Macaca fascicularis: one gene and its partner. The protein of the gene in region 1 purifies or fractionates together with the protein of each later gene. This does not show direct contact. Links are inferred from orthologs where the notes say so. Each region holds a gene or a part of one and is shown in the gene's direction. Other genes may lie near its edges.

Region 1 (4,265 bases):
CTTGTTAGCCAGGATGGTCTCGATCTCCTGACCTCGTGATCCCCCCACCTCAGCCTCCCAAAGTGCTAGGATTACAGGCGTGAGTCACGGCGCCCGGCCTATACATAAGCATTTGTGAAGCTTGTCTAAGATTTGTACATTTGATTGCATGGGTATTTTGCCTTAAAAAGAACTGTAAATGAATAATGTGTGCTGATGTGTTCATGGGTGTAGAGTACTAAGGTCTGCGTTAAAAAGATAAGATGGTTTGATGGAAGAACAGGTGGTCAGCAATATAGCAAAATGTTAACAGTTGGGTCGATATGCGTCCACTGTACAAGTCTTCCCACTTTTCTGTAAGTTTGAAAGTTTTCATAATACAAATTCGGATTTTAAAAAAACCCCACATTGCAAGAGTGTCACCAAAGCGTTTGAAAAGCAGGATTCTAGAGGGGGCATTCGCTGACGACTCAGAAAAACCGTCCATGCCACCCACCACCCCCACGCACTCAAAGAAGCCCTCGCTAGGCAACCCGGCCCTCCGAGCCCTGGTACCGAGGGGCTCTCCGCTTCTCCCTTGCCCCGGCCGCCTCCTGCTCGCCCGGCCTCAGTCTGTTCTCAGAACACACTCCATCACGTGGTTCCCATAACTCAGATTGCGCAGTGGTCTCGTCATCATCGGCCAGGGCTCACAGTGACCGCGGCAGAGGCCTCCCTAGACCTCCCTCCCGTCCAGCCTCACCTGCTGCCCCCTCTCCTCACGCCCCCGCTCCAGGTCCCCTGGCCCCACTTCGCTCGCCACGTTTTCATAATCCTCTCAGGCTCCGGGCAAGCTGCGCCGCCCGCAGTGGGACCTGATCATATAAGGAAAATACTACGGGCTCATCTGGGGGCTGCAATAGGGACCCGAAAGCGCCCTAGCCTACTACACTCACCGCACCCCAACTGCCGCCCACCTCTCCGCCCAGCCCTCAGTACAGCACCCAAGCGCAGTCGCGCGTCCAGATCGGCGACCAGAGCCTCTGCCCAGCGGACTGCGCAGCCGCCCGCTCCAGCCAATCCCGTCGCGCCTCCGCCGCGCCCCGCCCCCAGGACGTTCGGTTCCGCCCCCAGCTGGCGGCCGCCAGCGCGCCAAGTTCCTCTGGCCTGGGCTCCTGCCAGGTGTTTAGGGTTCTGGCGGAGACCAAAGGGAACAGTCATTCCCTCTCGGGGCTGGGATATGATGGGTGAGAGGTGTCAAACCAAATTCTCTCGGTTTGGAAACGGAGAAAATCTAAAAACGAGGACGTGAGGAAAGAGTCAGCCCTCAAGACGCGTAGTGGTCTACCCGAGCCCCGACCCCCGGGCTCCCTCGGGCTAGGGTGAGGCGGGCAGCCACGCGTGGAGTAGGATCATCTTACGCGGGAAGTAGGTGAAAGGGCAGGGGCGTGGCTCCCGGGGCGCCACCCACGCTCTTGAAATCTGGGTGACTGCAAGTGGCCGCTCTGCGTCCCCCAGACCAGAGACCCGCGCCGCCGACGACCCAGCCGCAGCCATGGCTCTGCTCCGAGGTGAGCGCAGCCCCCTCCTCTCCTCGCCCCTCGGGGTCCTGCCCTCCCCCGGCCAGGCCTCCGCTTCCGGCCGCCGCGGAGAGTCGGGGGTCGTGGGGTGAAGTTCACTCAACCTCCTCGGTTTTGGAGCGGAAGTGATAAAAACCCAGCCCGAAAGGCTTGTTTGGGTTAAGGAGAAAACCCTTACTTGTAAGACGCTAGCGACAGCGATTTCGATGCAATTTCCTGTTGACTTGAGACCAAAGTTTGCTTGCATGTGACCTTGGAGGTCATTCCTTTCTTCGCCTAACAGTGACTCCATTAGTTCGAGTCCAAGTATTAGGATAAATGGGGCGGCGCCATAGGCCGCTGGCGCTTGCTGCGGGGCAGCTGCACACAGGAGCCGGCTGCTGGGCCTCGGTGGGCAGGGCTCCCCGAGTGAATCGATGGCGTGGCCTGGCCACAGAAATGGTAGCTGGTGTTCTGCTGGAAGACCTGCCCTGCTCCCTTTTCCCTTCTGTTGCTTTAGTTTAGAGCAGCCACTCTATACCTAAGCTCTAGGGTTATGAACTTGTTTAAAACAACTGTGTAATAAACTCCCTTTTCAAAACAAATGGGCACAATCAATGGAATCTTACTTTAAGGATATACCGAGACGGGCGGATCACGAGGTCAGGAGATCGAGACCATCCTGGCTAACACGGTGAAATCCCGTCTCTACTAAAAACTACAAAAAATTAGCCGGGCGAGGTGGCGGGCGCCTGTAGTCCCAGCTACTCGGGAGGCTGAGGCAGGAGAATGGCGTGAACCCGGGAGGCGGAGCTTGCAGTGAGCTGAGATCCGGCCACTGCACTCCAGCCCGGGCGACAGAGCGAGACTCCGTCTCAAAAAAAAAAAGGATATACGTGTCGAAGAGCATTCAGGTGGAACACTATCGAGGCCCTGAGACAGGAAAAAGCTTGGCAGGATCTAAGAACCAAGCATTTTGGTGCTCCAGGGCCCTGTGAACTCTGTAAGAAGGTGGGATTTTGTTCCAAATTCAGTGGAAGGCAATAGAGGGATTTAAAGCGGGGTAATGACAGGATCTGATTTCCACTCTGTCCGGATTTGGGGCGGTCTGTGTAATGGCGAAGAGACCATTTAAGGATCTATTGCAGAGGTCCAGGGAGCAGCAAATGATGGCTTTGACTCGTGTGGGGCAGTGTAATTGGGGAGAAAAGGGGAGGGCTGAGTTGAGATAGATTTGGGGTGGTTTTGTTAGAAAGTAGATTGGGTGTGGTGGAGTAAATATAAGCAGGAAATGTCAAGAATGATGAAAAGTGCCTGGTTTGATGAACAGTGTTCATGATGATGCCACTTACAGAGTGAGGAAAATTGGGAAAGGAATAGATGTGGAAAGGAGGATTGAGCATTCAGTTTTAGGCAGAAAACTTTTTGGTGCCTGTGAAGCAGCCAAGTGGAGATGCCAGCTAAGAATTGGTTAGGGGGATCTGAAAGTCAGAAGAACCAAAGTGGCTTGAGAACAAATGAAGGGAAAAATCGGTATTCTGGAACCAAATGCAGTGTTTATAGTTTCCTGCAACGTGGATTTCATTTGCCAGTGCCCTTCCTGACTGAATTTACTACGTTTACTTCATAAAGCAGCATGGTGAATTTTTTTTAGACGAGGCATTTCCACTTCATTTAAAAGGTGCATTGTCATGAGCTATCTTCTTAAAAAGGAAATAATAGTTTTACTGATGTCATTTTAATATTTTATCAGTGGTTCTTACCCTTTCTTGTAATACAGACCCATTTGAAAATTTCACAAATACTATGAACTCAGAAAGGAAAAAAATGCACATTGACATCTGTATTAAGGAAGTAGAAAGTTTATAAATTTCTGGTACAGTTTACTGTAGTGTTAGAGCTAGTGATCGTATTTTTTTCCATTTCCTTATCATAGCAATTAGGACGCTCATGTGGAGAGAGGTAAAGTGGTTGTGTATAATAACACAGGTAGTTAGTGGCTGTGACTAGAACCCAAGCCTTGAGCTTGAAATAGTGATGTTACAGGCCGGCTAGAATCATTAAAGATACGCTTCTCTCAAGCAGCATACAAAGTGTTTGCAGGGTGGGTGGGAAGAAAGAAGAGCATGTGACTGATTATAGGGAAAAGGACACATTTGAGTTAAAATTTGTTAAGGATTATCATTAATTTGTCAGATTTCACTCAACAAGAAGAACAGTTCTAGGTTTTTATTAGCTCCCATCCTAGTACTTGGCAGGAGGTTTTCACTTAGATCTTAGCTCTCCTACTGCTCCTGACTTTGTTGGGAATGTTTGTGTATTTTTTCAAGGCGAGTGGGCAGGGCTGCTAAATTACCTTAATCCTGAAACACCGGGATAATTTGCCCTAGTTGCTGCCTGAAGTCGCTGGTACTAAGTGAATATTTACCTAACAATGTGATAGAAAGGTAGAGCTGTTTCTTTCCTAGTGGTGCTTTTCCTGTACTGTCAACTCAGCACATCTTCCCAGGCCCTTTCTTGGAGCTACTTGGACTCACTACACTCTGGGTTAATATGTCTCTTCACTGTCTTTCGGTCTTGGGAAATTTTTAGCCTCTGAATTTTCAGGGTGTTTTACAATAAATGAGATTTCAGTTTGGTGTTAAAGATTGTTAAGTTTTAGACCTTTTAGTATCCACGTAAAATTGACATCAAATGAAAATTGACATGGCATACAATTTATGAAATTAAAAGAAAAAACCTTTAAAC
Region 2 (4,470 bases), on another chromosome or scaffold:
TTTAAAGTAGGATATCTTAGCCAGGCGTGGTGTTGCGTGCCTGTAGTCCTAACTACTCAGGAAGTTGAGGCTAGAAGACTGCTCGACCTCAGGAGTTCAAGGTTGCAGTAAGCTATGATCATGCCACTGCACTCCACCCTGGGCAACAGAGCAAAGACCCTGTCTTTAAAAAAATTAAAAACTTACTGGGCACAGTGGCTCACACCTCTAATCCCAGCACTTTGGGAGACTGAGGCAGGTGGATCACTTGAGGTCAGGAGTTCGAGACCAGCCTCGCCAACGTGGTGAAACCCTGTCTCTACGAAAAATAAAAAAAATTAGCTGGGTATGGTAACATGTGCTTGTAGTCCCAGCTACTAGGGAGGCTGAAGCAGGAGACTCGCTTGAACCTGGGAGGTGGAGGTTGCAGTGAGCCGAGATCACGCCACTGCCCTGCAGCCTGGAGACAGAGCAAGACTCCATCTCAGCAACAACAAAAAAAGCCGGGCATGGTGGCTCATGCCTGTAATCTCAGCACTCTGGGAGGCCGAGACGGGCGGATCACGAGGTCAGGAGTTTCAGACTAGCCTGGCCAAGATGGTGAAACCCCGTCTCTACTAAAAATACAAAAATTAGCTGGGCGTGGTGGAAGGCGCCTGTAATCCCAGCTACTTGGGAGGCTGAGGCAGGAAAATTGCTTGAACCCGGGAGGCGGAGGTTGTAGTGAGCTGAGATCACACCACTGCACTCCAGCCCGGGCAATAGTGCGAGACTCCGTCTCAAAAAAAAAAAAAAAAAAAAAAAAAATCTAAAACTCAAACTTTTGAATAACAATTTCCTCCTAGCAAGAAGGGACTCAGTAAGATGAATAGCGCTGCTTGGCCACTTTGCAAATATCTTTAATGTCTGGCTTAAGATGGCTGGATTTTCATATCTGCCTCTGCATTTAACCCGGTCCATCTCGTGGGTCACATAGCCTCTGCAAAATGCGAAGGGGTTCAGTGCCATTATCTCCGGGCCTGGGTAAAAGACTCAAGTCCTGGCCCCATCATACTCCCACCAATACATACCACGCCTGCGCTGTCTGCGCCTGGGGCTCGTCACCCGCAGTGAGCGGTCGCACGGCCCCACATCAGGATCGCCCTGAGGCTCAGCCTTTCCCGGCCCCATTCCGAGTGCGTACAGGACAGAACCAGCACGCCAGGCCTCTGCCCCAGAGCAGAGGGCCACGATGCGGACCCGCACAGTGCACCGCAGTGACCTGAGGAAGGAGCGACGGACGCTGGCGCCAAAGGCGTCCGAGTGCCTGGTAAACTGTAAAGCGCAGTCCTGCGTGAGTTGCTATAGCTACGGCTGCGCCAGACGCACAGCTTGCAGGACCCAGGTGCAGGTGGGAGGAGCGGAAAACTCTGCGCGTGGGCGGGGAGCCCCGACCCTCGCCGGGGCCACGTCAATCTAGGTGCTCGGCGCTCTACTGATCCGGCCCCCGGGAGTGGGCGGGCACGTTTGCCTCGGATGGTCTAACAGGCGTAGGAGAGAGCCAATGGCGTGGCTCACAGCTCCACCCCTTCTATTCGATTGGCCGGCGCCGAAAAGCCGGGCGTGAGAGCCGCAGCCTCTGGAGGGAGCCGCAGCGGGTCTCTCCCTCACTCACTCTCCGCGCTTCCCCGCTCTTCGGTTCTGCTCTGTCCGCCGCCATGGCCCAGTGAGTGACTCGCCAGGCGCAGCCGGGCTCGGCCTCAGCGGGCGGGGAACTTTTTGGGGGTCGGGATCTCCCTCGTTCTCTCCGACGCCTCCCATCCTGGAGGTCGCCTGAGCTCATTTGGGGTTCTGGGACCCTCGTCCTGCGGCGTCTCGGGCCCGGAGCTCCTTCCCTGCGGGCCCGGCCCCCTGCTCTCTTGGCCGCGCAGGCTCGGGGCGGGGCGGGTCCTTTCGACGGCCAGGGAGGAGGCGCGGCCAGGCCTCGCCGAGTCTGCAGGGACACCTGCGGGACGCGTGCCAGCCGGAGTCGGGCGCGAGGGCGGGGCTGGGGGCCGCCTGCCCGGCAGAGGCTCTGCAGCTTGCGCGCCCGGCTTCGGGGGGCCCCGGAGGCGCGGAGGAAAGTGCAAACTCCCACTCACGGCCAAACGGGGAAGGACCGGGCCCCTGGATTTCAGCGCGTCGAGCGGCGCTGACTCTTTCCTTTGTTCTGTTTCTGCCTCTCCAGAGCTGACATCGCGCTGATCGGATTGGCCGTCATGGGCCAGAACTTAATTCTGAACATGAATGACCATGGCTTTGTGGTAAGCCGCGCGGGCGCATTGTCTTCTCTTTGGTTCCCGGGCTAAGAGGCCGGCGATGGGTCTGGGAGCTCACGGGTCTCCTGGCCGTGCTTTGCGAATGCGGTCTGTTGCTGCTCATGTCTTTTTGTATGGAAAGGAGAAGCACCCTGTAGGCTTGGGCGGGCCGATCCCGACCTTAGTCCGGCGGAGTGTGCCTGTGGGTCCGTGAGGTTCACAGCGCGAATGAACGGATTAGTGTCTAGTAGAGACGAAGGGTGCGGGAGGAGAACCCCTGCTGGCTGTGTAGAGCTCTAACTTGATTGCCTGATGAGATCTGGGGAGAGTGAAAATGTTTCTTCTAAATGCTAAAGTGGCTTAGACGCCAGGATGATCAGTAGCAACAGACAGAGCCTGTTGAACCAGCCGGTTCCTGGATTTGATTTTGAGTCCTAACAGGTTGGTTGTGGATTCTACCTGATAACGCCGGGGGTAGTTGGTCTTCGCCTCGGTTCTCTGCCAGTTTCATTCTACTGAGGTGACATAACTTTACAGTGAGCCTCCCACAGCTTGGGGAGGAAAAGGCAAAGGCAGATCTGACCTCCCCAGAACTTGGGCTGAATGGAAAGGTCATTGTTACTTGGGCCACAGTCTGAAGGTCTTATGTGTCCTGGATCTCCTACTCAGGCCTTTTGTCCTTCTAGGTCTGTGCTTTTAATAGGACTGTCTCCAAAGTTGATGATTTCTTGGCCAATGAGGCAAAGGGAACCAAAGTGGTGGGTGCTCAGTCCCTGAAAGAGATGGTCTCCAAGCTGAAGAAGCCGCGGCGGATCATCCTCCTGGTGAAGGCTGGGCAAGCTGTGGATGATTTCATCGAAAAATTGGTGAGGCCAGCTCTGCTCTCAGCTGCTACCACGATAACAGCTGGTTTTGGTTTCTTCCTTTCTCCTTTTAACTCCAGAGATTTTGTTTTTCCAATTTCTGCTAAATTCTGACCAAATGATTGCTTAACTGTCGCAGTGTTGGTTAACTTGATCGGCACTTATGAAGTAACTTTGTGCTTTGGTGGTAGTAATTCTGAGAATACTAACAGACATTTCAAGAAAAATTCATTAAGGCAGGGCACAGTGGCTCAGGCCTGTAATCCCAGCACTTTGGGAGGCTGGTTCAGATGGATCACTTGAGCCCAGGAGTTCGAGACCAGCCTGGGCAACATGGCGAAACCCTGTCTTTACATAAAATAAAAAAAATTAGCTGGGTATGGTGGTGGAAGCTTATGATCCCAGGTTCAAGACCAGCCTGGCCAGCATGGTGAAACCCCATCTCTACTAAAAATATAAAAATTAGCTGGGTGTTGTGGTGCACACCTGTAATCCCAGTTACTCGGAAGGCTGAAGAATGAGAATCACTTGAACCTGGGAGGCAGAGGTTACAGTGACCTGAGATCGTGCCACTTCAGTCTGGGCAACAGAGTGAGACTCTGTCTCAAAAAAAATGAAAATAAAATCAAGATCTTCTTAGGGAATCCTAGGGAACTGGATGCTTATTTTTGTACCAAACAATTTGTTGGCTTTAGCAGGTGTATCTTTTTTGGAAAAAAAAATGTAGGGGAACCAGTGAAAATAATGTATTTAGATACCCCAAAATAATTCTGTAGTAACAGCCCTGAAAAAACCCAGGCGCTACCCATTTAGAAGAAATGTTTTGCTGTAAGCAGTGCAGTGGTACCTCAGGGGAGGCTGAGCATTCCTTTTCTAGAGGAGTGACTTCTTTTCTAGAGGAGTGGCATCAACGGTGAGGTTGTTTCCACAGGAAGATGGATTTGTAACCAGTATGCCACTGTTTTTCAAACAGATGACCTAGAAAGGAAGAACACTGAGTTTAAAAAAAGGACATAGTAAATTTTTTGTGTGGCAAGCTGCCTGTGCTCAGTTTTAGACAGAGAAAACTGAAAAATGGTGGATTATTCTTCAGTATAGGAAAATAGTAAGTAATGTTAACTGGAGCCTTGTAGGGGGAAGATTGAGTAATAAATAATAAAGCCCAGCCTGGTTGGTGTGCTGTAGGTAGATATTCATGTTCAAGGCTCTGTCTCTTCCTGATCTCTGAACTGTGGTCATAAAATCATTCATTCATACACTAAAACATTTGATACGTATTTACTGAATCCCCACTCTATTCTAGACACAGACATTACAGTCAGTGTTTAATCTATTTACTTACTTAAAAATAG

The links.
Region 2: the proteins of ACAA2 (region 1) and PGD fractionate together in Homo sapiens (co-fractionation; 3 studies listed by BioGRID). This does not show direct contact. The link is inferred for Macaca fascicularis from reciprocal best matches to the Homo sapiens genes ACAA2 and PGD.

Annotation. Positions count from the first base shown.
Region 1 is NC_088392.1:39,956,127-39,960,391, forward strand, and holds the start of ACAA2 (3-ketoacyl-CoA thiolase, mitochondrial), read left to right. Parts: upstream 1-1,463; 5' UTR 1,464-1,513; coding exon 1,514-1,529; intron 1,530-4,265. UniProt on the Homo sapiens protein: In the production of energy from fats, this is one of the enzymes that catalyzes the last step of the mitochondrial beta-oxidation pathway, an aerobic process breaking down fatty acids into acetyl-CoA.
Region 2 is NC_088375.1:224,413,171-224,417,640, reverse strand, and holds the start of PGD (6-phosphogluconate dehydrogenase, decarboxylating), read left to right. Parts: upstream 1-1,627; 5' UTR 1,628-1,676; coding exon 1,677-1,684; intron 1,685-2,185; coding exon 2,186-2,261; intron 2,262-2,941; coding exon 2,942-3,121; intron 3,122-4,470. UniProt on the Homo sapiens protein: Catalyzes the oxidative decarboxylation of 6-phosphogluconate to ribulose 5-phosphate and CO(2), with concomitant reduction of NADP to NADPH.